Arabidopsis thaliana: one gene and its partners. The protein of the gene in region 4 interacts with the protein of the main gene of each other region in a pairwise test. Each region holds a gene or a part of one and is shown on either strand. Other genes may lie near its edges.

Region 1 (6,723 bases), on a different chromosome or scaffold from region 4:
ACTAAATAGAAAAGAGGATTTGGAAAGAAAGTGAGATTAATAATGAAAGGCAGTGAGATTTTTGTTTGGTGGGTCAATATGGATAATGGATTGATGTATAATATAATTGAATATTGACAACTCAGAGTGTGCCACATTTCGTGATACCGATCATTTACGTCATACGTTTTTGCACTAATTTTCTTACATATATATAATGTAGTATCTATATATAAAAATTTATGTGTCAATTATTATGTATTGTATATAAATCAAATCAGACGCAAAAAAGAAAAGAAAAAAAGAAGAGATTTTCACAAGTAATATTTAAAAAATCATTTTTTCGTTAAGTAACAATATTCTTTTCGTTTCACAATAAAAATCATTTTGTACTTTTTAAAAAAAATATTTTACAGAAAAAACGGTTCCATATTTTTAACGCAGAAATTTTTGTAAAATTTAGGATTTTTACTTTAAAATTATGTTAAATAAATAAGGTTGGTTTAAACTTGTTTGAGAAATGAATTGCAAACAAGTAAATGTTTTTTTTTTTTCTTAGTAGAATAAGGATTTTATTGATAAAATTTAGAGTCACATGATTACAAAGGCCGACAAGGAAACAATCCTTGTAGAGATTAAAGTCGGCAAGCAAATGAAAACTCCCGAATACAAGATCAAACTAAAGGGGAAAAAACCCAAGCTACAAATACATCATATCTGAACAAATACTTTCCGGACTCATAATCCTGATATTCAAAACCAGAAATACAAAGTGTAAAACAAACATAGAATCAACAGATCTGAGACTAGAAACTCTCACAAAAGGAAACAAAACCAAAATACTCCTTACCACGAACGGCGGTGAAGCAAAATCAGCACCCCGAGACCTAAAGGAAAGCGTCTCATGGAGAAAGGTAGGAAAATTAGATCTTCAATGGTGAGAAAACTAAATCCGAGACGGTGAAGGATCGGAAAAAGTCTGCCTTTGCCATAGATTGAACGGTCAGAAATGGAGCTGTACTTGAAGAAGTATTTTTATATGTACGATATCGTTAAAAAAACAAATTTTACATATGAAGATGTCACAATCGCCAGACATGCATGGTTCTGGAAGCACCACGTGACAAATTGGATAATTAACCAAGAAACAGGTGAGGCCTCACTTCACCAAATCCCCACCTTTTATTATCTTTTCATTTTCTTTTAATTGTTATCACTCCCTTCCCAGCCTTTCGGGCTTTGGTCATTTATATACAATATGTGTATATTTATTTTTATCTACATTTATTATCATAAAGTTTTACAAAAGATAAAAATTACAAAATTATTTCCAAAAAAGTTTACGTCCAGAATGTAGGTACTAGGTAATATATAGTTTTGACTTAGAAAAAAAAAACAAAAAAAAAAGTCAAGGTAATATTTATTTATGAATGTATATAAACCTTGCAATCTTAAAACATGTTTAAAGATTTCTTAAAGCTCTACATATGTAGCGTTGATACACACAATTTTGATCACTAGGCTCCAAATAATATGTCGAGAAAAAAACGAAAAAAATGCTACCAAATAATATAGTGTTACAATTTAAGTATGACTACACACAAACACACATTTACATTCGGATGATTCAGAACTATATTATACTAGTTAATTAGAGCATATAAAATGTCATGATTTATTGTGGGAAATTACAACGTTGATCAACTTCGGATACAACAACAAACTAAGTAAAACATAAGTGTGTTTTTTTAAAAAGAAGGTTTTGTTTAGAGGAGCTTATTTCTAGCAAAGTATCAAGGCTCATGTAACGATTATATGATTATTAATCCCAAAAAACGATACACGCTCTAGTACATGTAGAATTTTGTTTTTAATTGGTAGAGACGATCACTTCATCAGACACAAAGCTTTTCTGAACTTCAAGAGTTAGCTCCTCCAAGCTTAAGTGACACTCCAATCCTATCTGCACATGTAAATTTAATTCCGTCGAATTCAAAACAAAAGACTCATACAAATATTATCTGATCCATATATATATACATTGAGCTTAACTAATAATATTGATATATCTTTTGGTGTAAATTAAAGAAGTACAAATCAAGTTAAATAGTCATAATTTGGTTAAGTAACTAAATCGATGCAAGACATCGGTTTAGCAATAATTGGTGTTTGATCATTCATTAGGAGCATTTTACTTTGTAATAGTTCTATAACACCAAATTCCATCTAATTTCATGATAGATATAATGAGTTTTATCGGTTGTTCAATATATTGACTAACAATGTATTTAATTTGTATGTAGATGAAGATATGTACCTTAACAACGAAAAAGTATAAGACAGTCTCCTCCATGCTACTAATATTGAGGTGAAGAACTTGAAAAGATAGCTTCTCTAAGACAGAGATGATCTTTACGAGCTGCCCCACGATTCGCCTAGAGACAACTCTCAATACAACATTAGAACCTGAAATCTTTGCTTCTACGTTAGCATGAGGGGAGTTACAGCATGCTCCTACTTCCTTGAAAGTACTTGTGGTCATCACATTTTCGATTCGACTAAACGGTACTCGGGTAGTGGCGGCTCCTAAACTGGATGGCTCGATTGTCTGGTGATCATAAGGGAAAGATGGTCGGTTTAGGGTCTTTCGACGTTTCTTGGACTCAAGAACTTGAACCAATTGCTGCAACTCTTTGATGAACTCTATCACTCCTCCGATGATCGAAGCTTGATCTCCCTAATACCGATCAATCATAGAAAACAAGACCACATGATTATTAAACAGATTGGTGCATCCGAGTAGTTTGTTTAAAGAAAGTTACCAAAGAGAAATATACAGTCTATGCATAACATATACAAACAAGGAAGTCTGACAGTGAGAATATAGGATTAACTATATATGTATGCCACAACATTTTGTTTTCTTCCAAAAATAGTAAGTTGGGAAATCCAATATTAGAAAGATTATCATGCATGATCCAATTATAAGTATCTAAGAGATTTTTGGTTCCTGCACAATTTTATCTGGGATCCTATTAAATAAGCAATTTGAGAAGGTTCAATTGTCTGTATAAATAAATTGGAATAAATCTTGAATCAACCTCTACGAAATAACTTCAACAAAAGAAAGCAACGATCATTAAAAAAATACCAATCTCTTCGAGAAAATAATTAGGATTGTGAATTGAGTTCTTTTTTCTATATCATCCAAACTAGCTAATTGACTATGAAGGGATCGAACAGATAAATATGAAATTTACCCTTTTGATGTAGAAACAAGGAGTCAAAGAACGAAGGGATTTAAGATGCTCGTTCATTTGCCTTCTTCGATTCCTTTCAACAGCGATGTGAGACATGATACTTAATTGATCAAGATTCTCTTCTGGAGTTCCTATATTGATCTATCAACGAAGAAGATGATCTTATGTTTTCACTTTGTTCGACACATTCTTCAAAACAAAGTCGTATTTATACAGCCGCAACAACAAGTGATAATTAGGGTTTAGAATTTCTTTTCAAGGTTCATAAATGCACTATGTCGCTGTCTCGTGACATTCTTTTGTCTCTTCTTGATTTTTCTCTTTCTCTCTCTTATTACTATCGATATGTATTAGAACAACGTAAAGAAAAAGGTATGCATACACAAAGATACGTCACGTTTGTGAAGTTGGATACATTTACATTTACATTCACTGCGTGAGGTCTTTTATGAATTTCAATATCGTATTTTCATTTAGAGTGCATGCCTTTGCACCACCTTCTTTTACTTCTAGTTTAATTTCTACACTTGTGCCACTTCTTTGTTCTTAATTACCGCGTGTCCTCACAAGAAAAAATGGATTTCTTTTACTCTTTATTAACAGATAATACACTGATACATACACAAAGTAAAAAAACATTGAATCGGACATATACTGGTGGAAAGGTTTAGTTTGTATTGAGATGTTTTACAGTTTTCATGGATCGATGAAGGAAAATAAGTACATCAAAAGCCGTTTTTTTTGGCGTAACATATGTTTTTTACTACTTACTATTAGCAAACATATTGGGTAGTATCTGATTGGAAATCTACGAAATTTCGAAGTGATGAAATGATTATGTGATTTCGCATGTTTCTATATGACATCGTTTTTGTGTAATTATGTTTCACATCTTCTATCCTATTGACTTTGTAAGATAAATGACAACATTGACAAGTAACAAAATATAAATAGTTACGACATAGTTTGTAGTTGAATTACAACTTTTTGTTTTCCTTAATCACTATGTCATTTAATACCACAAATTTCTCATTCGTGATGATTCCATCATTTTCCTTGATCACTAGTCGGAACCAATTTCCATTGGTTAATGGATAACTTTTTGCATGAAATATAGGTTCTACAAGAAAACATAAATTGATATAACCTTTGGAGCAAAGATAAAGTTCAGTTGTTCAGCTACCTGGACGGCTCATTAAGATTCCTCCCGAGAAGTATTCTTAAATTATATTATTTATTTTTAATAAAGAGATATTCGTAAAATTTCGGCTCTGTTTTGCAAAGTTAACAATATCTCAATTCATATTACAAACTTCATTAAATAAGGTTTAACCTAACCAAAAAAATTGCTATAGTGACAATATTTTTTCTATGAAACAAACCCACTTGGATAACACTTCTATTTGTGGTTTTGTTTGGACAAACGTTTATTTTTATGGTTCATATATGCATATCCACATATACATTATCTCCGAAGTCCCAAAACTGTGGAAGCAGCTGGAATGAAAATGTTGGTGACAAATGTTTGTAGCCGCAAATGTTAGGCTACAATACGTATAAGACATGCAAGGTGCATGCCCCATTTAATTACGAGTAAAGAAATCTAACTCCTACTTCGATATTCAATTTGTTCATGGTCTATCACGTTATATACAATATTGATCGACAAGGCAATGAAACAAGAAAAAAAAAAAAAAAAACTCACGTTCGATCAAGATATCGGTTAACATTCAATGCAAGGGTCGAAAACCAAACCAACCAATTTTCAGTCTGGTTTGGGTATGGGATTGGTTTGGTTAAATTCACACTGATCCTCCTAGAAAATATATTCATTGTAGTAACAGAGGAAATGTAAATTCTGCGTTTTCATTCATTTCAATTGGCTAATGGACATGGCAAAGTGCTCACCATCAATAGTTCACAAGAAAAAATCCTTCACAGCACGAAACCAATCAACTTTTTTGGCCAACATGGGGCTGAAGACACTTGCCGGAATTTCATGAGAGTTCATCATGCCACTATCTTGAATCTTCTTATCAGCTGAAGCAATCATGCATTACCTTGGATGGATTTTTCAAATTGCTGGAGCTGCGAAATGAAACCGGGATTAGGATATGCCTGATGTCGTCGGCTCCTTACAAGTTCCATAGCTTTAGAGAATCCCATTCCATGCTTTTTCATCAGGTAAGCCACCACTATAGTCACACTTCAAAGAAAAACTCAAACCAATCAAATTGTGTAAGTATATATATAACAGAACGACACAATAAGCAAATTACAGGTTCAAGAAAAACTCTTAATTTGTCCACAACAAAATGTAATCTGTTCACTACCATAACTCCTACTAATACCAGAATCAGCAAGCTATAAAAGAATCAAAGCAAACTACAAGATTCATATACACTTTTGCCAATCTGAGTCTCTGTAGTTTCCTATGGTTACTCAGTTGGCAATTTATATACACTTTTTTGATATGGTTACATAATTTGCAATTGGTTCACATTGATGATTCTTAAACACTAAATCTAATAACTGAATGTATGAGATTTAAGGGCAAAAGAATCAAAACCTCCTAGACATTCCCATGAAGCAATGAACCAAAACACCACCACCAGATTGAATAGCTTGGTCGATGAAGCTATAACACTCATCGAAATATACTGTCAAATCGGTCTCGGATCTATCAACCACTACACGATGAAGAACAAGTTTATAAAATCTCTAAACGAAAAATTTCAAAAACAGGCTAAGGATTGAAGAAAAAAAACCCAACCTTCAATGACTTTGTAGACAAAATCATCAGGATAAGGAGGAGCCAAGGCCACAGCAACGGTTAAGACATGAGTGATATTAGAGCTTTTGAGAAAATCCTTGTTATTCGCTTCAGCTACTGATCCTATGAACAATCCCTGAGAATAAACTCATCCAACAAACGATTTTTCGGAATTAAAGACTCCAAAACCTGAGAAATTCCAAGTGTGAAATTAGACGGATAGATAGAGAAGAGAAACGAAGAAAACCTGTTGGATCTCGCTGAGATCTTTGCCTCCTTCGAGTAGCTTCTGGGAATTAGCTTCTCCGACTCCGAAGAGATCAACCACTTTCTCCATCGCTCTCTGCTTCTTTTTTCAAAATTCCACTTGTACAGACGAAAACTCTTAATCAGAAAGATAAATAACCCTAGATTCGTAATTAATATTTAATAGTTTAGTTCGGATAGATGAATCAATAAGCACCAGTGGTCTAGTGGTAGAATAGAACCCTGCCACGGTACAGACCCGGGTTCGATTCCCGGCTGGTGCAACAATTTGTTTGTTTTTTTAAGTGAAAAGATTTAAGAGAGTCAACCTTTTTACACATGAAATGAAGATGATTAAAATAAATAGATGACTTAGAAATCACCAAATTAACATTAAGAAATATTGGTAGGTAGGAAGTGAAAATTGAACACAAGAAAAGTGTTGAGCACCCTCTTCTCCTTTCA
Region 2 (7,988 bases), on a different chromosome or scaffold from region 4:
TGTGTTATAATTATTATTTTCTATATGAATGTAAATTTCATCAGGGAATGAGAAAGTTTTGTAAGGATTTATAAAATTGACTTTACCCGATATATGTGTTATTTGATGCGCTATATGTGTTTGCTATTTTTAACCCAAGCTTGATTAATCGAAAAATAAGAAGTGTTATTTGAGTGCTACGAGACGTTAATTAATTCGAGTCTAGTGCTACATTGGAGAATGAATAATTTACGGCGATAAAATTTTATTAAGTTTTTCAAGAGTAAAAAAAAAAATCTGAATTTGGTAGTGTTGGATATATCTAGAAAGACTACATTGCCAAAGACCGTTACATCCTTGCTAACAAAAGAGAAGGAAAAAAATTGTTTACGCGAAACGGAAGTGTTTAGCTTCTTTCTTGTATATAAAAAACAGTGTATTACTTTTAGCAAAACCTCAAACTTATCTCCTAATTTGTATCTCTTCAATGAATTATCGAATGAGTAAGTGACGACGATCACACTAACAGAAATCTTAATTCTCGACCATATGGAATTTAAATTCTATTCTACTGCGACCACTTATTGGGTTTGATGATAGCTAGATGCCTAGATTACATAGAAAAAAAGAGAGAAAGAGAGCTTAAATTATTCCATTTTATAAAATGTTTTAGAAATCAACAAATAAAAAATAATGTAAAACTTTATTTAACTTGATGTGTTATGATCATTTGTATTGTGCAAAGTATTTTATTATTGATTAAATTACTTTTACTTATATATTATATAGTTTTTAATGTAACAAAAATCTAAAATTTATGTCATTTCTTGATCTCCATTTTTATCTAAAGCATCTTATACATCAAAACAAAAGAAGTATAATTTATGTTATTTCTTAATCTATATGTTCCTAGAAAAAACAACTATGAATCAAAATAGAAGGAAGTACTATAAATTGTGTGATCCAAAAATCGAGTGCGAGTAATTTTGGAAGCCATATTGAGATCTACACAGGATTTAAATCTTAGGAACCGAGCTTGAGTTGGTGCTACGTTTAAAAAGAGATTCATCTGTCAAAAGCATGTCGTGGTCTCACGATAATCGGATATATGTACATCAGTACATGCTAATAGTTCATAACTTCACCACCGTGACCATCTAGAATCCCCAACTAAAATATCCAACTATAATTTAAAAATAAATTTGAAAGTATATCCTATAAACGTTTTACAAAACCAAAACCGAAACAAGATCATCACTGCGATAAGGAGATGTTGTGTATATATATGCTTATACTCCATCATACATGCATCCATGATTTCACATACATATACATGATGCATGTGGATGAATGAAGAATTGTAGAATCTCGGGCACGGAGAAGGCGTGTCCGGTCATTGAAAGCCGCCCACCATCTTTATTATATTTGTTTCCGAAGTACTGATCTTTCTGCTCAACTTGCAGATTTTGATTTCTGCGCAACTTGCAACTTTCTCATTCTCAGTTTTTTTCTCTGAATAATTGCTTCAAAAGTCAATTATTATTGTTATTATAAAAAGGCAATAAATTTCAGAGTAGTCATATATTCATTCTTTTAGTCTGTCGAGTTTTTGTTTGTTTGTTTTTGATTAGTAATCATCGGAACCAACTCATGACACGACTTCTTAATCGAGACTGCAGGAAGAATATAATCAACGTTTTGTTATGTCATATAAATAAAATGAATTTATGTCAATCTCTTTTTTGTTGTTGTAGTAATGTAACGGGCAACAGTGTTATAGAAATGTAGATTTTGATTTGCGAAATAAATAGAGCAAGACAAAACTGTACGAAAATTGAAAACATGTCATAGTCTCCATAAAAGGGTATCTATATATCCGTATATATATGAAATTGAATAATACCTTGGATCCGAGTCATATCAAATTAATATCCTGCATGCATGAATAATTAAACTTTAGTTACATTACTATGTCCGCTAAATCAAAATCACTGACAAATATCTTGTTTATTTTGTACAGTGTAATAAGTTTGTCCGGGTTGGTTAAAATCGAAAATTGAATTGGGATTCTTAAAATCTATTTTGTTTTAAGATCAGTTTGGTGTTTGACAAAAAAGAAGAAGATCAGTTTGGAATGTGTCACATAAGAACATGTAATTAAAAGTAATTTTCATCATTATATAAGCATTGCATTAAGAAAAACATAGTTTTTTCTAATTGCTGATGTTTCATTAATTTGGGCTAGAAACAAAGCATAAAGGAGAAGAGACCCGTTACTAAAAAGACATGGTCAGGTAAATAATATCTGACAGCCAACTCATTAACTTCAAACCTAACGACTACCTGGTTTGTCTTGGCTCCATCTTCTTAAATTTTCGTTTATTTTCTAAAACATTTGAATGGATTATCAAAAAAGAAAATGTCAAGCAATATTTATATTTATGTACAAATATTTCAAAAACTTTTGAAAGGGAAAGTTCAAATGAAGGGTGGCTCCTCAAGATGCAATTTGATTTTGATGAGACAAAATGAGGCACGTCTAGTATGACATCAACTATTTATTGCCTTAGATCTATCCCTTGTCTTTTGTTTTCTTGAAAACAAATTCGTTTGCTCCCTGTATCAATATAAAGATTAACTTACAAAAGAGGTGATATATATATATATATATACACATTATATCCCATCTTATTAATAATGCTTACTAATATTGCTAAATTCATATTCTATTTTGGGTTGGTTTTATAAGAAATTGAATTCTTATGCCATCTCATCAGGTGTTTATGAAATATGTTAGGGATCCAGTTGAACTGAACTAACATTACTAAATTGAATTAATTAAATTGTATGTATGGCTCGGGAAAGAAGAAGGAACGGATTTTCTTTCAGAATTGTGGAATCGAATTTTGTTCTTCTTTTTGGGCTTAAATGTTGGTTAGATTACACCATGACATAAACAAAGGCCAAAGTATATGCTTTAAGTGAAAATCTGTATTTTTAAATCGACTGGCGATAACATGTCTGAAATTGGTCTATCAATCATAAAAAGTCTCTAAATATGTATCTTTTTATTTTTTGAATAATGAATGATCTATAATGTGAATGTACAACACATCATTCAATTGATTGTCTCACGATTGAGGCGCTAAAATAAATGTGAACTCACTAATTTCAAATGTTTTTTTTTTGTTTGTTTTTTTGTATATATATATACTTGGAAACCGGGATTGGTCGGACCATATTCGCAACCCGAACATATACGTAAATTAAATACAAAGAACGTACATGTCCGTGTTTATGTGTATTACATGTTTGTGTGTACAAAAAACAATTATACCGAGCTTGTGATTATTCAAAATTTTACCCCCATAAAAATCTTTTCCTAAGGAATTTATGTATCTTTCCCTTTGCAATATGCAACCTTTATCTCTGTAATATAAAGTATACAATAAGACGTACCATATATATATATGTAGATGCATATTTATATCTAAAACATAAATGAGACACGAAAAACCTAGATCCTCCCCCAAATTTCATCCAACGGCACAAACCGCATAATAAATAACCCTATCAAAATATAATAATAAAAATTGAAATTTGATAGCGATAGTTTAGTCCTCGATGAATGCGAGTCCCTCATATTTACTCCTTTTGGCATTCACTCTCTTTATTTCTCTTTCTCAACTTGATATGTCTTTTGGCGTCTCTTTCTTTCCCTAAATCTTTCTTTTATTTTGCTGTTTAAAAAAAAAATCCAACCATAAGACAAAACAACGAACGAGGAAGAGAGAGAGAGAAGGATATATCTCTAATCACGATGCAGGAGATAATACCGGATTTTCTTGAAGAGTGTGAATTTGTCGACACTTCACTAGCCGGAGATGATCTATTTGCCATCTTAGAGAGTCTTGAAGGTGCCGGAGAGATATCTCCGACAGCTGCATCTACACCTAAAGATGGAACCACAAGTTCCAAGGAGTTAGTTAAGGATCAAGATTATGAAAACTCATCTCCTAAGAGGAAAAAGCAAAGACTAGAAACCAGGAAAGAAGAGGACGAAGAAGAAGAAGACGGAGACGGAGAAGCAGAAGAAGATAATAAGCAAGATGGGCAACAAAAGATGTCTCATGTAACCGTGGAACGTAACCGGAGAAAGCAAATGAACGAGCACTTAACCGTTTTGCGTTCTCTTATGCCTTGTTTCTACGTCAAACGGGTATATTCAATACATCCATAGATTTTACTAGTCAGTATGTGAGTTTCTGGTAGTGCCCGACTAATTAATACTATTCGTTCAACTAATCTTTTTGGTATACCTAACTATCATATTCATATATCATTTCTTAGTAACATCAAAAGTATCATGCATATCTATGTTTTTTTAGGAATAATGACAATTATAATGACATTTTGGTCCCACTAATCATCTCTTTTTCTTTTCTTTCTTTCATGTCACAATGAGATATATAGAATGTTCATATTGACTTATATTTTCTTTATTTCCTCTTAAACCAACCTATTAAAAAAAGGGGGACCAAGCATCGATCATAGGAGGAGTTGTGGAGTACATAAGCGAGTTACAACAAGTTCTCCAATCTTTGGAAGCCAAGAAACAACGTAAAACCTACGCCGAAGTCCTAAGCCCGAGAGTTGTCCCGAGCCCTCGTCCTTCACCGCCTGTTCTAAGCCCAAGAAAACCGCCTCTTAGCCCGCGCATCAACCACCACCAGATTCACCACCACCTACTTCTCCCTCCCATAAGTCCTCGAACACCTCAGCCAACAAGCCCATACCGGGCCATTCCACCGCAACTACCACTCATCCCACAGCCTCCGCTTCGCTCTTACAGCTCATTGGCCAGTTGCAGCAGCTTAGGAGATCCACCTCCATACTCTCCTGCTTCATCTTCTTCATCTCCTTCAGTTAGTAGTAACCATGAGAGTAGTGTGATCAATGAGCTTGTTGCTAACTCAAAATCGGCTTTGGCTGATGTGGAAGTGAAGTTTTCAGGAGCTAACGTGCTGCTCAAAACGGTGTCGCATAAGATCCCGGGACAAGTTATGAAGATAATTGCTGCTCTTGAAGATTTGGCTCTTGAGATTCTTCAGGTTAATATTAACACCGTCGACGAAACCATGCTTAATTCTTTCACCATCAAGGTACGTACGAATAATCATCCTAATTAATTTTCACTGACTTGTTTTTTTTGTCTCTATTCATAAGTGTAATTCATACATTTATTTTCTTACATAGGATATATGGTGGGGGAAGAAATGGGTAGGGTAGTGTAATAAGTAATAATTCATTGAGATTCACATAAACTCATACACACTTTCGATATATATGAAATTTAATGTATGATTCTAATCTACATTATATATATATAGATAGATATATATATCATTATATAAAACGTAGGGTATGTGTATGTCAGATTCCTCACAAACATACAAAACTAAACTGTTCGTTGTTTTATACTACTTTTACTAAAACTCTTCTCTAATTTATACATTTGACTTTCTTAAAAAAAACGGTGTGAAAGAACACGTGTTTAAATATTATATAAATTATACGTGAACATTGAAGAGCCCCCAAAATCTTCAATTTTAAATTCGAAAGGAATTATTCTATATATTTGGAAATTATTCAAATAGATCAAGCTGCTGAAGTTTATAAGTGTCAAGACTTAGTTTCTATTTTTGATAAGTACTTAAATTTGTTCAATGAAGAATTTCTACAATGGATGTTTTAGTATTGATGATTTGATTATCGAAAAAAACAAGATCAGAGATCAAGTAGGGATACTATTAACTATGTCTCGCAAGTATAGATATTTGGTAATTAAGTTCCTTAGAATAGGTGATTATGTTGAGACGAGAACAGATCTTTTTTTTTTTTAATAATAGTTAAATTTGTTTCTTTTTCGTTGGGAGTTTAGTGCCTCGAGAAATATAGAGCTACTCAGAATGAAATTAATTGAAAACACTTATTTTTGTATAAATTATATTTTTTTTCATATCATCTTTTTTTTTTTTGTTAAAGAACAATTATCAATGTATACTTCTCTATCTTTTTTTCTTTTGATAGATTGGAATTGAGTGCCAACTAAGTGCAGAAGAACTGGCTCAACAAATTCAGCAAACATTCTGCTAGTAAAGAAGGATTTAATATAGCTTCGTATAAACCTTAACGAGAGAGCAGTACGTACTCACTTTCTCTCCTTAGTATCCCTTTAATTATCTTTTCAGTTTTCTGCAAAGATATGGAGTTTAAAAAAATAAAATTGTTATCTAAAGTTTTAATCAAATATTGATTAATTATAACTAATATAGGTATAAGTGAGTTTTAAAGATTATCAGCTTCATAACAGCCATCGTCATGTTTACTTTCTTTTAAATTTTAGAATTTAGACGTACTCCTACCATGTAATTTTATTTCTGTCATTACATCAAGCATTGTAGCTGTAATTGCATATGAATGAACAATAGTGTATGAGTGATCTCATGAATAATATTCTTCTTGCAACACAAAATGTTAAGGGATATATTTTTTTGTAAATAGAAAGAATGATTCTACATGCCGCAGCAAATGTTCTGAAAATCAAAAGAGTGGATGTTAAAAAAAAAAAAAAACTAAAATGATTGTACCTTTTATAAACTCTTAAAAGATGTTCTTTTTGGGTGAAAGTATGGATTATTTTGTCTCAAAAAAAGAATTATGTAAATATATACACATTTATATTGTATATATATATATATTTGTGTAAGAACTAATTTAAATGTCTCGTTTCACATTTTATCAGTAGAATCATATTTTACATCATGTTTGGGATGTGAGAAAATGTTTAATTGTTGTTATGCAACTATGCAAGGCAAGTCTGTGCACAAACTAATTTGGAATATGCAACTTAAACCACAATAAATTCGGATTTTACACAAACTAAGCTTATAATAAAATTATAGCCATGCTCATATTTTTTTGTAGATGTTGCATCCAATCTCAACATTTAGATGCAACATCGAATCATCCATGTTCAACATCAACATATTGTTGGGTTTAAAACTTTTGACTGTGAAACTTCGTGTGGCTGGTTTAGAGATCAACCAAACCCCAAAACTGATGGTGGTGAATATCCCTAGCTATTCAAATTGTAGTTTGTAGATATCCGATTTTTTTTTTTTTTCCGTCACTTTGTAGATATCCGAATTATCAATACATTCTCTGAAATGGATAGTCCTAACGCAGTGTATCCACTACTGGTGAACTTACAACTGGGCTGTAAAAACTGAAATTGGGCATTTTTTATCGGCCCATAGTTTTACCTTTACTTGTATTGGTCGAGTGACGTTGATAATCTGTCGTACCTTGTTAAATAATGGGCTAAAATAATTGGGACACTATTGGGCCTAAAAGCTTTAACTAAGATTGTGATTTGTGAGTTTATGTGAAACGACATATAGCTGAAGAATTGAATCGTTTGGTTCGTAATCATGAAAATCATATAATGGAAAATTCTATCCGTTAAATCCTGTCCATGAAAAGTTAGTTTTAGACGCAAACCGTCCGTTCATTAGTCGTTTACCAATGAGAATCACGTTTTTTAAATAGACGTTTAGGATGATCTCATATAGTACTTTTTATCGTGTTGGTAGAAAGTTTTCAAACTGATAATTTTTTGTATGAAAGGCAATACTATATATAGATTCTTTATTTCTTAAAACGTTTATAGAAAAATTAAGTTCATACTTCATACTTCATAGTCCTACATATATATAGCTAGTGCAAGCATGTAACACCTAATATTTAAGTGATTGTGAAAATAAGTGTTCATAACTTTTGGTTAGAATTGGATCGGGGTTTTTATTTTAGTTACATTTTTTTTAAAGTATAGATACATTATGTCATTAATTCTGTAATAATTTTTTTAAGTAGTTTCTTCAAAATATACTAGTCAACTATAACTAATGGAGTATTTCTTTTTTTTTTTTTACTATTTAAAATTATTG
Region 3 (7,988 bases), about 14 Mb from region 4:
CGCCATATCCAATTCAAAAGCAAAATCTCTTCTCGCTATGTCTCTTACCTTCAATCTCCGTTACGATTTCAAAAACTTAAGAAAATTCAAAACCAAGCTTTCGATGAATGGACGAAGAAGACGACGGACGTAACTGTTAAGTGGGACACTAATCTTTTATTAAAGCCTAAAACGAAGAAGATTAGGGAAACAAATAGTCAAACCTGTTAAAGACGAAACTTGACTATGATTAAACGTTAATGACTTTCAAACTGAAGATTAAGTACTAAGGACTGCATTTTCTTATTTTATATGCATAAATGAGTAAAGTAGATAAGACTATGAATGAAGAAAACAAAAAAGATAAGACTATGAATATAATTTCTTGAAGATTTTATCATAAATGAATTTATTGTGACTTGAAGAGTTTTAAATTTTTGGAGAAAAATAGAAAGAAATTACATAGTTTTGAATTTTTTGATATTATATAGAAGCTTTCGCCTTTCGCGCGTAATTTTAAATATTTAAATTAATAAATCTAACTAATTTTAATTATCGTTGTGATTTTATATGTTCATACTAAATCGTGTAATAATTTATTATGTATGTACAAAAGTTATAGTTTTGAATTTTTGATTAATAAAAGATATTTCGGTCGTATTTTTGTTTATAATTGAGTTAATCAATCCAACTAATTTTTAATTTTTCATTATCGTTGCAGTCAAATAACATTTTTTTTTCTTTCGAAAATTTAGCTTTAATTAATATTAGAAACTTTTGGGCATATTATTATTTATATATGAATAAAGAAATCTAACAAATTTTCAACACTGCTGGAATTTGATATATTTGCACCCACTAAAGTAATAATTGTTAGATACAAATTTGAATAGTTATAGTTATATTTAATGTTAGAAGATAATATCTATATAAATTATTTGATATGGACCTAATAGATAATTTTTGTAATTATTTACTTCTAATTAAACTAATTCAGATTTTTCGAATAACAAGTATTTTTATTTATTTCTTACTAAATTAATTCAGATTTTTATAATAAAAATATGTTAAAACTTTTTCTTTTTGAATTTAATGTTAAATTATATTAAAAAGAAAAATAAACTTGTTACATATGAAATGCTAATTGTTTTGAGAGTTTTTTTAAAGAAAAGGAACTTCTAATTGTCTATTATCTATTGCCTTGATTCAAAGTTTTAAACCAAACTTGGATGCCATCTTTGAACTTCAATCCTCCACTACCTTGAATTGTGCTCAAACGGTTTCTAAGATTCTTGTCTATAATCTTCACAAGTATTTCCGTCGGTGATGATTGCTCCCCATGCCTGATGCCTCCTCCTATTTTGTTCATTCCAAATTGAGTGTATAGAGTTCTGTCTGTAGTGCATACCTAAGTATGTAGCTCTTCGTTTTGTATAGAAGGTTTTTAGATAAAGTTTTCATAACCTCTGTCCAACTCGCCGAATATCTGTCCGAGAGAATTCCCCTTGTTAAGTCTTCCCATATCTTTTTTGAGTAGGCGCAGTGGAAAAATAAGTGTTCCTTCGTCTCTCTACCTGTTCATTGCAAAAAATGCAACTCGAATCTACATTACATACCACTTTCTCATTGTCTCTCTACTCAAATTCTGTTTTTCACAACCAACCAAGTAAAAAGGGATACTTTGGAGTAACGTATGGGAACCATATCTCATTGTGTCCCTCTATCGACAACTTTGCTAAAACTTGTGTTCAACGTTCTCTTTTTGTTATGTTTTTTCTTTTTAAAATCTGGAACCTATATAAAATCAGCTTATTAGAATATATTTATAAACTTTAATTTTTAATTTTAAAAATATTATATGGTAATGACTTATATAATCTCAAGAAGAATTGTTTTTTCCATAATTCGTATGGAGCCTTATATTTTTTTGGTCTGGCTCTGGTTCTATGTGGCAAGTTTTGCAGCTTGCTCATAAATTCATAATGCCAAGGGTAAGCTCCATACACTCGAACTTGGTATGAACATGGGAGCTCAGCAGTGTACATGTACTTGTAATTTAACCTCATGACTATTAACTCTTACAGTTCCGAAAATAACCTCTTTCTTAGGAACTCTTAGGGTTTATCCAAAAACAAAAATACTTTGATATATTAACAAACGAAATCTAACAACAGTAAAAGAGGAAGTTCTCCGTATGGGAGAACCAATACGAAGCATAAATGCTAGATTTTAACAAATGAAATCTAGCCTTTTTAACAAGGACATGAGCATACCAAAAAAAACTTTAAACGAGAAAAACCATCAATCTCTATAAAAAAGAAGGCCATTCATCCGGGATGGCTACGATCTATAGGTTAATTCTTATCTAAAAAAAACATTAATCAAAGATAAATCAATAATGAGGCACTGCATGACCCAAAGCAAGAATTCAAACTTTGTATGAAGAGGGATCGAGACGACGGTGAAAGCTCTTCTCAACCACATTATTACCATGTTTTGTTGTGTAGAATGAATGAGTCAATGACTCAATGCACTACAAATAATTGCTCTCTTTTAACTTGAGAATAAGGGTTCTTATTATAATGCTTATCAGCTTTAAATATAAAAATAAATAATGTAAAACATTATTTTAAGTTTGATATTAACGACATATTTATATATTTATATATTTATATCCAAGTTGTTCAAAATAAAAATAAATATATATATTTATATCCGATGATTGAATTTCTAATATTGGAAGTTTATTCCGGAACAGGAAAGCAGACGTGGGATATACACATACCGCATCGGATGATTTATATTAAAAAAATATATGTATACATCATTAGAGGAATCATAAATCGGCGGTGTGTGTAACTTCAACTCACGTTTTTCATTTCTCTCCAAAGTCCTTCAATTGTTACTAATTCTCTCTGATCTCTCATTTCTTCTCTTCTCCGGTGACATTTTTTTTCTCCCCCGCGAAAGCTAAACCGTTTTTGTATTCTCAACGATTGATAAGCCTGATGGAGAGAGATTTTCTCGGGCTGGGATCAAAGTTATCTCCGATAACTGTGAAGGAGGAAACTAACGAAGATTCAGGTAATTCATCTTCAACATCTTCCATTATGATCTGATGATTGTGTTTTTCATCTCACTTTTTTTTGTTTCTATTTTTGTAATCTCTTTTTTTGTTTATTGTTCAAGTACATATATATTGTTTTTCTAGCTTGATTGGGAGTCCTACTGTCTGGTTTTTTCTTGAACAAGAAATTTTTTCTTCGTTTTCTCGGGAAGAGAAAAAATAAATTAGGGTTTCTTTTTTCTTGATATATATTTAAGAAATTAGGTTTTAGTACTATAGACAGAAATTTAGCTACTCGAATTTGTTTGACGTAGCCGATGAAAAAACACGTTTTGGGACTCGATAGTTAGAAAATTCATACGTTCACGATCTACTTTTGAAGTTTTTTTCATTAAATATTTTTTGCAAACTACAAATGTACAAGTATACAACTATACAAGCAAACACCAAACTTGTTGACGTTAGTAATTTAACAAGTGTTAGTATTATCTTTGAAAAATAATATTCAGAGAACAAACTTGATTTTCTAGGTGACTAGGTGATGCATGTTTCTAAAGCTGTTGGTAATGTTGAGTGTTTTCAAAATAATTTCGTTTTTTTCTTCAAACAGCCGACACCGACAGAACAAAAATGCTATATTTTTTTTGTTGCTTACAAAATTGATCAATTGGTTTCAATACAATAGTATCTTCTTTAGAAAAGATTGTTTTTTTCAAAGCCGGATTGAATATTGAGAATTAGAACATTGGCTGGTTATTCTTTTTGAAAAGTTTATGCCATTTTTTAAGGTTTATTAAGCAACTTGAATTCTATCAGTATTATTTAAAAACGAAGACGTGAAATGTTGGGAAAAGAATGCGTTATATAGCGACCGGCTGACGATTAGAGATTTAACAACAAATGCAAGTTGAATTATATAAAAGCAAGATTGATTGTGACTTGATTAAGTTTTATTTCTATCCAAGTAGACTCATTGATTAAGTTAGGATCATGTTGGGTATTAAATTTAGATCAAGTTACAATTTGGATGAATAATTTACTTACCCACGAGGAATTTAATAGTTAGTTCTTGTCTTTTTATATTCCGAAACGTGCCATTTCTTGAAAGTATTTGTATGATCACTATTTTCCCCAGTGTGTTTGGCTTTATGCAGATTTGTTCATTGTTGATGAATCTAATGTTAAGAGTCGTCCACTTTAGCATAGCTAGATCTGAGTGTTTCCTAGTTTGATAAAATCTAAAGACATTTGCTCATGTTTCAGCCCCAAGTAGAGGTATGATGGATTGGTCATTCTCAAGCAAAGTCGGTTCTGGTCCTCAGTTTCTTTCTTTTGGGACATCCCAACAAGAAACGCGTGTAAACACAGTCAATGATCATTTGCTTTCTTCTGCTGCAATGGATCAAAACCAGAGAACTTACTTCAGCTCACTACAGGTTAGGCTATTTCTTGAAAAGAAAAAAAGTAGTGATAAAGTGTGATTTAGTGACCTTGTAAGAAAGCTTGGCAATTGGTTTAGTTTCTTCTGGTCTCAAAATTGATACAAAATGATCTCAGGAAGACAGAGTGTTCCCAGGTTCCAGTCAGCAAGACCAAACAACCATCACAGTCTCCATGTCCGAACCAAACTACATCAACAGTTTCATAAACCACCAACATTTAGGAGGATCTCCTATCATGGCACCTCCAGTTTCAGTATTTCCTGCTCCAACCACTATTAGGCATGCACTGCATTCTATCTTCTTCTGTTTAACATCAGATACAGAACCTCTTTACTTCTATAGTTGACTCGAGCTCCTTTATGTTCATCTCCAGATCTTCTTCAAAACCACTTCCCCCTCAGTTGACAATCTTTTATGCCGGTTCAGTATTAGTTTACCAAGACATAGCTCCTGAAAAGGTAACCAAATTTCCTTCAATATGTGTTACATTACAGTCCAAGCTATCCACTGACTAAGTATTCAATCAAAGAAATAAGTTTCACGTATAGACATGCTGAAGTTATAGAAAGTTACTAACCTGGTTTCAACATACAGTATGTTAATGATTCATAGATATGATAAATCTTTGTCCTTACTTCTTCATTTATTTTGTATTCATAGGCCCAAGCTATCATGTTGCTAGCCGGAAATGGACCTCATGCTAAACCGGTTTCACAACCTAAACCTCAAAAACTGGTTCATCACTCTCTTCCAACCACTGATCCTCCAACTATGCCTCCTAGTTTCCTGCCTTCCATCTCTTACATTGTCTCTGAAACCAGAAGTAGTGGATCCAACGGGGTTACTGGACTTGGACCAACAAAAACAAAGGCGAGTTTAGCATCCACGCGCAACAACCAAACTGCTGCCTTCTCTATGGCTCCAACAGGTTATAAATGAAGTCTTAACTCCTATTAATGTTTTGTCATCAAACTTCTATCTTAGGTTTAGTTTGTTATAACCAAAAAATCTTGCTATGATTTAATACAGTGGGTTTACCACAAACACGCAAAGCATCCTTGGCTCGGTTCTTAGAGAAACGCAAAGAAAGGTACTGAGCTACAAGATTATTCACTTATTCACAATATCAAAACACAGGTTTGCTGTATATTGGCTTCGTTTTCTTGCAGGGTCATTAACGTATCACCTTATTACGTAGACAACAAGTCATCAATAGACTGTAGAACACTGATGTCTGAATGTGTAAGCTGTCCTCCAGCTCATCATCTGCACTAAAACCAATTTAGACCCCTCATTGTTCTAAAGGCTTTTTCTTTTTTCTCTGGCTCTGTATCCTATAGACTATAGTATAGTTGTTATAGCTTTTGTTTATTCAGATTTTAGTACACTGGGCTTGTAAAAGCAAGTTATTTATATATATCCTATAAATTTAATTTGGATACTGTATGTTTTGTCTTTACTCTTGCATGTGTATAAAAAACATAAAAGTAAGACTATTCAAGCTCTTCTAGATTTTGTTGAAGTCAACTTTATGTTTATACTTTTTTTTCGATAATTGATATAAAATATTTCCACCAGCAGATGAAAGTCATTTAATTAGTTGGTGCCATGTGCTATATCAGAAAATAAAACATTAGTTTATATACTTAATCAGTCCTCGTCGTCGTCGCCATATATAGTAGATCAAGAATCTTGGATGAGACAAAGAGAAGATCCTGGAGGAGAAAAAGATGACAAAACTCGTTTCCAAGATATTTAAGAGGTTGATTTCTCAAAGTCAGTACATGTCTTCTTCTACTACTAGCAATCTCCCTGCTGCTTCACAAACTTCCAATCTTGAGAGCCAATTGCTTTCTTCAGCTCCACCACCCGCAAGTATCTTGCACATGCTCTCTCTCGTCTAATTTGTGATTAAGTTCTGAATCTTGGTTCTGAATCTTTGTGTAAAAATGTTTTGCAGAGAAGAAAAGAGGGTCAGCGTTGTTATGGTACTTAGTTGGATTCACTACTTATGGTCTCGGTGAGACGTATAAGTTCCTACAAACACAAGTGGTCTGTGATTTTCATTATATACATTTTAATTATACGTGTTGTTCTTTGATCTGCTAAAGAATTTGTTCAAACTCTTTTGTTTCAAGTACAAGGAACATCTTGATTCTAGAAAACAATGCTTGGAAATGAAACCAATGAAGCTGAATACAACGAAAGATTTGGATGGGTTAGGATTTCGACGGGTGGTATGCAAAGGCATTTTCGATGAGCAAAGATCGATCTATGTGGGTCCAAAGCCTAGATCCATGTCTAAAAGTTCTGAAATTGGCTTTTATGTCATTACACCTCTTTTGCCAATCCCTAATGAACCTAATAGGTCAGGGATTTACTCTCTATATGCGCAAACCAAACTAAAGTCTTTTTGATCTCCATATATACCATCTTGATGCAAATATCTTTTTTCTTGTATATTTAAGTGTTTGGATGCAACATCTAGACTAGATGCAAATACTTGCAAATTTTGTGTCTCTTACAAATAAGGTTGCATACAAATGCACCAAAACAAACAAACAAACAAACATGGTCTAACTATCTTTTTCTTCTTCCTTTTGTCACTAGTATGAAGTCCCCTATTCTAGTAAATCGCGGATGGGTTCCTTCGGATTGGAAAGAAAATTCTCTAGAATCTCTAGGTACTGGTGGTCTTGTTGCTGCTGCAAAAGAGTCAAGAAAAGCTAATAAACTTCTCTCCTCTCAACAAAGTCTCTTGTCGAAGTTCTGGTACAAGTTGAACAACCCAATGATTGTTGAGGTTGGTCTTCATTTCATAAACTTAATGAGTACTCAATCATTCATTGCATGATTTGATATCATAGTTAAGTGTTATTGGAATATTTTTTAGCAGGACCAAGTCTCTAGGGCTATGCATGTGGAAGTGGTGGGTGTAGTTAGGAAAAGTGAAACTCCAGGCATATATACTCTAGTAAATTATCCAAGTTCGCTTGCGTGGTTCTACCTTGACGTTCCTAAACTAGCTCTAGCCATGGGGTTTGGTGAGGACACAATGTATATAGAGAGTACGTACACAGATATGGATGAAAGTAGAACTTATCCAGTTCCAAGAGACGTTGAGAACTTGACTCGTAGTAAGGATATACCACTGGACTATCACTTGTACACAGTTTTGTGGTAATTAACAAACATAACATCGAACTTATTGCACTAGTAACTGGTTGTTTTTGTTTGTTTGTTTATGGTAGTGTGCCTGATTGTTTCTATATGCAGGCACTGGAGTTCCCTGACTTGCTTTATTAAGGCGTCTTCGATTTTAATGCGAAGATTAACAAAATCTGATCCTATTGGTGTAGAGCCAATATTGATTCCAATTTCCATTCTCGTTTTTATATGTACCAAGATATACAGTCTTCGTAACTTATTTTGTAAAATAGACACTATTGGTGTTGGGTGTGTCACTAAACTCGACACAGGAAAAGTCAAATGACATGCCC
Region 4 (7,136 bases):
TCCCAAACAGGATCTCTTTGCTCATTTTTCAGACAATTTTTGTGTTTAAGATCTGTTCCTTATTTTCCAAGTTTGATTTCTCATATTTAAATAAAATACTACTAATTATTTTGATGCGTTTTGAAGCATGAAAGAAAGAACTCATTGTATTTTTTACCGATTATGTGTGTTTTTATTTTTGCTTCCATTATACGTTTGTTGTTATTTAGAATGAACGAGGCTACACTTATATATCTTTTAGACATCAAAATCAAGACAAAGTTCAAAAAGCCTACTCATCATATCCAAAGATTCAAAATTTGCCTAGCAATTGCTCTTCTTGAGCTCATTGCAGAAAGTCAATGACATTAAGTTGATTACATATTTGAAATCTCTCTTTTGTTGGATCATATTATCACCTCATGTTTTTGGACATGTTGATTATCCAACAATGAACATGATTAAAATCATTAACCATCAGATATTCTTAAGGTGTTGCAAATGCATCAAGAAAAGCTTTGCTCATGAATTATGATTTCTCACTTCCCTATCTAGTAAACGACGTTGTAGAGGAAATCTTCTTGAGACTTCCTGTGAAATCACTAATTCGACTAAAGTCTCTCTCAAAACAATAGAGATGGATGCAAATTATACAAATAAGTGTGGTTTTATAATTCTAATGCGTCTCATTCTGATGCCACGAGTCCAAACGAAGGACTTACCAAGTGTGAGGTTTTTGATTTTAGGGTAAACGCTTGGAGGTACTTGAATTGCACGCCAAGTTATCGAATATACCATGCCCAAAAGCCAGCATCTGTAAACGGGACGCTTTATTGGTTCACAGAGCTATATAATGCTGAAATCAAAGTAATAGTTTTCGATATCATTACAGAAAAATTCCGGTTGCTGCCAAAGATAGTTCCCGCTATTGCTAGTTTAGATCCTAGCCATATATACACTCTGGATAATGCTTTGTGCATGTCGAAAAGAGAAGGAGATAAGCTGATCCAAAATATTTGGAGGCTGAAGAAATCATCAGAAGACACATGGGAGAAGATTTATACCATAGATTTTCTTTTAATTCTTACCAATTAGCCAAGTTTATCTGGTTCCATTATGTTTTTGTCTTTAACATCTTCAGTCGCCCACGGCACAAACCAAATCTTACTAAACTGAACCAAGCTCAGACATTTATAAAGAATATGAATTTTACATAGAGATTCATCTCTGTTCTGAAAAATTGATATATCAGAGCGTTTGCCTATGAATTGTGCATTTCTTAATATTTTGTTTAGCCTTTTCTCATGACAGACTCATGTGTGTTTTATCAATGAAAATCAACATTGCTCTCTTCTTGCAAACAACATATAAATGAAAAGCAAAGTAGAATTATTGAGAAACAATGGCATTTTGCTCAAAGGTTGCAACTATTGTTCCCCAAACACATGTTCTCATAGCTAAAATAAAACAGTTATCATCTTCCATACATGATTGAAATTGATGAAACTAAGTAAGAAAATTGCTGACTAAAACAGAACAAGGACTTAGATCTAGCTCTGTTCCACACAGATGCTTCCTTCTGCTTCGCAATCAAACCAAACCAGCGTAACCTGCTGTATCTAAAAGCACTGCTTTGATTTGTTCAGGTAACACGTCATGGTCTTCTTGACATTGCTGATTAGAAACACAAAACATGTTGTTACTTGTATACTAATCATTCTCTCAAATAACTATTCTTTGACTGCTAGTTTTACTAATCAGTGATCAGCATAGCATCTTAACAACTATATTACCTCAGCGCGGAAAACATCCAAAGCAAAACCATTGAAACAGCTAATCACCGCTTGTTGAACATCCAATCCTAAGTTATCCAAAGCTCTCATGGTGGAAAGTAAAAGACCTGGTCTACGTCCACAGAACATGTGTATGTTCACTGCCTTTCCTTCTCTTAATCTAACCTCAACCTATATCAAAACAAAGAAGCGTTACTAAGAAAATTAAAGAATACAGCTTTGTCCACTAGAAAGCAATTGAGCTTATTCTTACTCTTGGTTGTTGGCCTTTAGGACTTGGCAAGGAGGAAGATGGACACAACTCTTCCTTAACACGGTAAGACAGCGTTTGTGGAGTCGGTGTTAACGGATGCAAGCTTGAAGAACTCGGTGGAGTAGATTCAAGTTCGGTGTGAAGATCGTTGATTCTTTGTAAAAGCTCTTTGAGGTAATCAATAGCATCTCCAAGTATTGATGCTCTATCCATCTACATTTGCAACCCAAAATTAGTGACACAAGAAGTTATTAAGGAGAACAAAGAGAAAAAAGGAAGAATCTTTTTGGTTACTTTGCTGATCTTGGGAACAACTGATCTAAGCATGTAAAGCCTATCATTAAGCTTCTTCCTTCTTCTTCTCTCAGCCATAAGATTCTTTGCAGGCATTCCTTTCTTCTTACCTTTGTTGTTATTAGTATTATGGTCATCAGATTCGTAATTCAATCCAGAGATATCGATGATTCCGGTACTAGTATCGTCAATCTCTCTCTCGTAGCTCGATTTCCTCATTTCAGAAGAACTCTCAGAATTGCACATTTTGCTACTCGAGCTCTGACGCATTGCAGCTCGTTTCTGAAACAGAGTTGGCTGCGAGCCAGATGAAGCCATTACCTGTAACGGTTTTAAAACCTTTGCTCTGTTTGAGAACAGAGGACTCAATCCACATGATCCTGAGCTGTTTTCCGGAGCTGGAAGAAAATCCGGTACTGAGTGGTTTAAGCCAGTGAAATTCATCGAGTTCGGAGATTGATGATTTCCATGGAATTGTTGTCCTAAGAAACCAGAGTCAAAGCCGAAGTCATCGAAAGTGTTGTTATTGATGGTTGGGACGTTGAGAAGAGAAACTATACAAGCTTTCGTAGCTAAGAAAGACTGTTCCTGTTGTTGTTGTTGTTGTTGTTGTTGCTGTGAAGCAGCGTCGAGTGTGAAAGGATGTAATAACGGAGAAGAAGAAGAAGAAGAATCAATCGATTGCTGAAGAAGAAGAAGCAGATTCTCTGAGGGGTTTAAAGGAAAGCCACCATTGAATCTGAAGTCGTTTTGATTAGTGTGTTGTGGTGGTGGTGGGTTATTGAACCAGTCTTCATCTGGGTTTCTGACCCAAGACGCAGCTTCACCGTTATTAACTTCCGGAGATTCACCGGAGCCGTCAAGCCAAACACCGTCGCTGTTCATGTCAAACTAGTAGAGAGAGAGAGAGAGTGGGAAAAGTTTCGAATTTTGGAGAGAAGTAGAAATGGAACCTCAAAAGGAGACAAGGCGAGAGAAACGTAGATAATATAGAGAGAGATTTTTCTTGAAAGGAGGCGTACGTTATAAAGTGGAATCACGAGGATCTTATGAAGAAGAAAAAAGTGAGAAATCTGAAGAAGAAAGATAGAGAGATTTCAGAGCTCGAAAACCCTAAAAAGTTGAGATTTTTGGGGATTTCAATGTTGTCAAGGCCACCATTTATTTACTCTGTTTGGTTTCTTGGTCTATCTTGGTTTAAGAGTTGGTGTTGATTCTCGTGACTATTGTTTTTGCTTTCCGTCTCTCACCTCCACTTCATCTTTGCCACCTCTCTCTCATTTTTTTTTGTCTGCAGAATTATTTCAGTGATAGAGCTTAGGAAGATGATTTAGTTAAAGCTAAATCCGACCGTTAATAATCAAAATAAGTATACAGTTCAGTTTGGTTGAAAAACTTAATAATGTGGGATTTGGTTGGCAATCATAAAAATTGTCACCGTAAAATAAACAAATTTTGAAAAGAAAAATTGTAGTTTTTTTCTATATTTGAAGTATTTGGGACTAAAGAATTTTAATCTCTCAAAACTTTGTGATGTGTGTCATAGACTCATATTAATTGTAGCGGCAAACTTGTGTTTAGATTGTTACATAGATTGGCTATTAATCAAATTTTTTTTGACATGAATAACAAAAGTATATTGAATAAAAAAAAATCTTGCAACAAAGTATATTGAATAAACATTTCAAGATTAATACGGATAAAAGATGTCGGATGCAATGGTCCCTTTTTTTTAACAACGAGGCAATGGTCCCTTTAAGATAAAATCTATATTTCATCTTCCTTTTACATCCACACACAGAATGAAACTGATTTTTGTGTGGATTAACGAAAATACTCGTCCTCATTTTTTTGAAAAATCTGTATCATTTCATAAAGTAGTATGATTTTTGGTAAGTATAGTGTCATTTGGCGAAATAAGTATGGTTTATTATGATTTATGAATAACAGCATGCTATCGGATAATATAACAATCCAAACAATTAATGCTTTGTTTCTTACATTACATGCTTCCAAATACATCAAAGCATTTTATATATGAGAGATCAAACTCTGAAAATAAGAAGCATATCTTCTACACAAAGGAGGTTGGTAAATTAAACTGATAGATTTTATTTGGGGATCGTATTTGATCATATTGCGGGCATAGCGATGTGAGAGCAGAATCTTCTTGTCCTTGCATATCGCCACTGGTGTGGATGGCTCAACCAAATCTTTTCGTGTCCAATTAAATCCATCGCGGAACTCAGATAAAGAAGAAGAAGAACAAGAAAGCAAATCTATGGTATAAACCTTCTCCCATGAGTCTTCTGATGATTTTAACCTCCATATCTCTTGGACCAACGTATCCGATTCTCTTTTCGACATGCACAAACCATTATCCAAAGTGCACATGTCGATATGGTCAGGATCTGAACTAGCAATGGCCGGATTAATCTTAGGTAGCACACGAAACGTTTCAGTGTGAATATCGAGAGCTACCACTTTTATTTCGCCATTATATGGTTCCGTGAACCAATAAATAGACCCGTTTGTAGCTGCTGGTACTTGGTCAGGGAATATCCGATAGCTTGGAGTGCAAGTCAAGTACCTCCAAGCGTTTGCCCTAAAATCAAAAACCTCGCACTTTGTAACTCCCAGGTTTGGATTCGAGGCATCAGAATTATACAACCACACTAATTTGTAATCATTGGCCTTCACGAATGCTGTATAACAGACTACTGGTTTTATGTCAATCCAAGTGTCTTGAGTGGGGTATAACTTTTGCATCAAAATCTGAAACCTAGCCGGAGGAAGTTGTCGAAACCACCGAGTGGCCGGGTTAACTACATATATGGCTTGTGTTTTTAGGGAATGGATGCAGAAAAGTCCGTCACAGCTTTCAGAAGCATAGATCCGGTGTTGAAATCCTTGAGGGAAAGTGATAAGAGTGGAGGACAGAATAGAAGCCGATTCCAAACAGATTGTACTAAAACCAATGTCTGTATCTGGACGAGGCTGATTACCTTTACTTCCTTTCAAGGAATATTCTTCAGACATGACCATGACCTGTGGAAAATCCACGCGTGATCGCTCGACGATCTTCAAGTGTCTCTCTTCAAAACTGCGAGACTCGATCGTCGATCTCCATTGTTTTGAGAGAGACTTTAGTTGGATTATTGCTTTCACCGGAAGTCGTAAGAAGATTTCCTCTACAACATCGTTTGGTAGTGATGATGGTGCAAACACTGCCTTCTCGTTTCCTCTTCCTCTAGGTATTCTTCTTCTCTTTCGTTGTGATAATGATGCAATCAATCGCTTCCCGTTTCCTCTATTTTTAATTACTCTTCTTCTATTTCTTTGTGATGCAATCGCTTGTTTTTCTTTTTTCATAGTTGATTTCTTCTCTTTTGATATGAATGAATCCTCTCTACTCTCCATCCCACTTTTATAAATACTAGATTTTTTTATTAGGAGATTTAGGGGATTACGAGATCGACTTGAAAGTAAAATTCATATTGTAAAATATATTCTTGTTATTAAATAGGTAGATTTAGTATTATCATAAATCTAAAGAACTTGCTTGCTATGCAAGTAACATTCTTGTATAAATAAGCTTATTGGCTAATTAATATAATTGAGAGAAACTATTTCACATATCTGCACTATGTGTGAAATAAAAAAATATTAAGTAATTTTTATATATAATCAATATTGAAGGTATTCAATTTTATATTATTAATTAGATAATCAGTTTGTATTAATGACTATCAAGATTAGTAAATATATATTTATGTTTATCGTGATTTATGATATATATATTTTGTATATTAATAGATACAAAATATTAGATACTTCATTTTGAATAGATTTGTATTTCTTAGTTGCATACATTTTAATTGAATTTTCGTTTTAATAATTAAGTAGTAAAAAACATAAATTATGGTTTGGGCCGGGTCGTTAAGATTCTGAACCCTCTAACTGACCTGGAGGTTTCACACCCATCATCAGATCTGAAAAATTTCTAACTAAGTCTTTCGCGTTAAGCTCCGACACTGCATTTTCCGAGTACTCAAGAGAAAGGCGATGGGGTCATCACAGTCTTCGCAATTACTCGATGAAGAAGAAGAAGAAGAAGATGAAGCAGAGAGCGAAGGTGAAGAAGTAGAAGAAGAAGAAGATGAAGCAGAGAGCGAATTGAATAACAGAAGAATCGAGCTGGATAATCTCTTGGTCAAGAAAGTTCTCGAGCAAGAGCCTGAGATGCTTCCTTGTCACGCCTCTGCTTCTCCACTCTCTCCTCAGCTCTCTTCTCTTGGAACTCCTCGAATCGGACCTTCCATTAAAGTCTGGGATCCTTACAACGTCCTCGCGCCACCTCCTCCTTCTTCTCCGCCTCTTTTCTCTCGTATCTCCTCCGCCGCGGAACACGATCGCTCCGCCGTGACGGAAGTCTATTTCATCAGCCACGGCGAGTGTGATCTCAATCTCAGGCCTGATCTGATTGGAGGTAGATGCCACGTGGCTACTCTCACACCCAACGGGAAACGTCAGGCGAGAGCTCTAGCCGTATTTTTAAACTCTGAAGGTGTTCGATTCACCTCCGTCTTCTCTTCGCCTCTGGATCGAGCTAGATCCATGGCTGTTTCTGTTTGCCAGGTACAGTCTCTACTCTTCGATTTCTCAATTCTAGATCTAAGGCTGTGAAATTGGAATCCAATTCTTCAAAATTAGGTATTAGTATAGTAGCTAGGAAGCTCATGAAACGAAACCAACCTAAATCATTCTATAATCTTGTTAGATCGAATCAGCCTGATGATTCTAAGAAAAACAACTTT

What was found.
Region 1: the proteins of SCRM2 (region 4) and MUTE interact in a two-hybrid assay, tested with the Arabidopsis thaliana proteins (one study listed by BioGRID).
Region 2: the proteins of SCRM2 (region 4) and SPCH interact in a two-hybrid assay, tested with the Arabidopsis thaliana proteins (one study listed by BioGRID).
Region 3: the proteins of SCRM2 (region 4) and JAZ4 interact in a two-hybrid assay, tested with the Arabidopsis thaliana proteins (one study listed by BioGRID).

The regions. Positions count from the first base shown.
Region 1 is NC_003074.8:1,843,143-1,849,865, reverse strand, and holds MUTE (basic helix-loop-helix (bHLH) DNA-binding superfamily protein), read right to left. Parts: upstream 3,425-6,723; 5' UTR 3,336-3,424; coding exon 3,240-3,335; intron 2,717-3,239; coding exon 2,297-2,716; intron 1,943-2,296; coding exon 1,850-1,942; 3' UTR 1,607-1,849; downstream 1-1,606. Other genes in the region: MKP2 (MAPK phosphatase 2), read right to left, coding at 5,289-5,445, 5,809-5,929, 6,013-6,148, 6,260-6,349. UniProt on the Arabidopsis thaliana protein: Transcription factor. Together with FMA and SPCH, regulates the stomata formation. Required for the differentiation of stomatal guard cells, by promoting successive asymmetric cell divisions and the formation of guard mother cells.
Region 2 is NC_003076.8:21,584,753-21,592,740, reverse strand, and holds SPCH (basic helix-loop-helix (bHLH) DNA-binding superfamily protein), read left to right. Parts: upstream 1-3,485; 5' UTR 3,486-3,799; coding exon 3,800-4,198; intron 4,199-4,511; coding exon 4,512-5,141; coding exon of another isoform or gene 5,142-5,168; exon of another isoform or gene 5,169-5,523; intron 5,524-6,069; coding exon 6,070-6,135; 3' UTR 6,136-6,522; downstream 6,523-7,988. UniProt on the Arabidopsis thaliana protein: Transcription factor acting as an integration node for stomata and brassinosteroid (BR) signaling pathways to control stomatal initiation and development. Activates transcription when in the presence of SCRM/ICE1.
Region 3 is NC_003070.9:17,928,671-17,936,658, forward strand, and holds JAZ4 (jasmonate-zim-domain protein 4), read left to right. Parts: upstream 1-2,719; 5' UTR 2,720-2,987; coding exon 2,988-3,063; intron 3,064-3,929; exon of another isoform or gene 3,930-4,309; coding exon 4,310-4,482; intron 4,483-4,603; coding exon 4,604-4,767; intron 4,768-4,861; coding exon 4,862-4,946; intron 4,947-5,148; coding exon 5,149-5,416; intron 5,417-5,517; coding exon 5,518-5,578; coding exon of another isoform or gene 5,579-5,585; exon of another isoform or gene 5,586-5,657; coding exon 5,658-5,763; 3' UTR 5,764-5,992; downstream 5,993-7,988. Other genes in the region: AT1G48510 (Surfeit locus 1 cytochrome c oxidase biogenesis protein), read left to right, coding at 6,219-6,363, 6,449-6,540, 6,627-6,856, 7,099-7,291, 7,382-7,668, 7,765-7,981. UniProt on the Arabidopsis thaliana protein: Repressor of jasmonate responses. Interacts with and suppresses RHD6 and RSL1 transcription factor activities to negatively regulate jasmonate-stimulated root hair development.
Region 4 is NC_003070.9:4,380,826-4,387,961, reverse strand, and holds SCRM2 (basic helix-loop-helix (bHLH) DNA-binding superfamily protein), read right to left. Parts: upstream 3,659-7,136; 5' UTR 3,205-3,658; coding exon 2,320-3,204; coding exon of another isoform or gene 2,239-2,319; coding exon 2,026-2,238; intron 1,944-2,025; coding exon 1,773-1,943; coding exon of another isoform or gene 1,764-1,772; exon of another isoform or gene 1,654-1,763; coding exon 1,570-1,653; 3' UTR 1,311-1,569; downstream 1-1,310. Other genes in the region: AT1G12870 (F-box and associated interaction domains-containing protein), read left to right, coding at 726-833; AT1G12855 (F-box family protein), read right to left, coding at 4,351-5,739; AT1G12850 (Phosphoglycerate mutase family protein), read left to right, coding at 6,385-6,957. UniProt on the Arabidopsis thaliana protein: Mediates stomatal differentiation in the epidermis probably by controlling successive roles of SPCH, MUTE, and FAMA. Functions as a dimer with SPCH during stomatal initiation.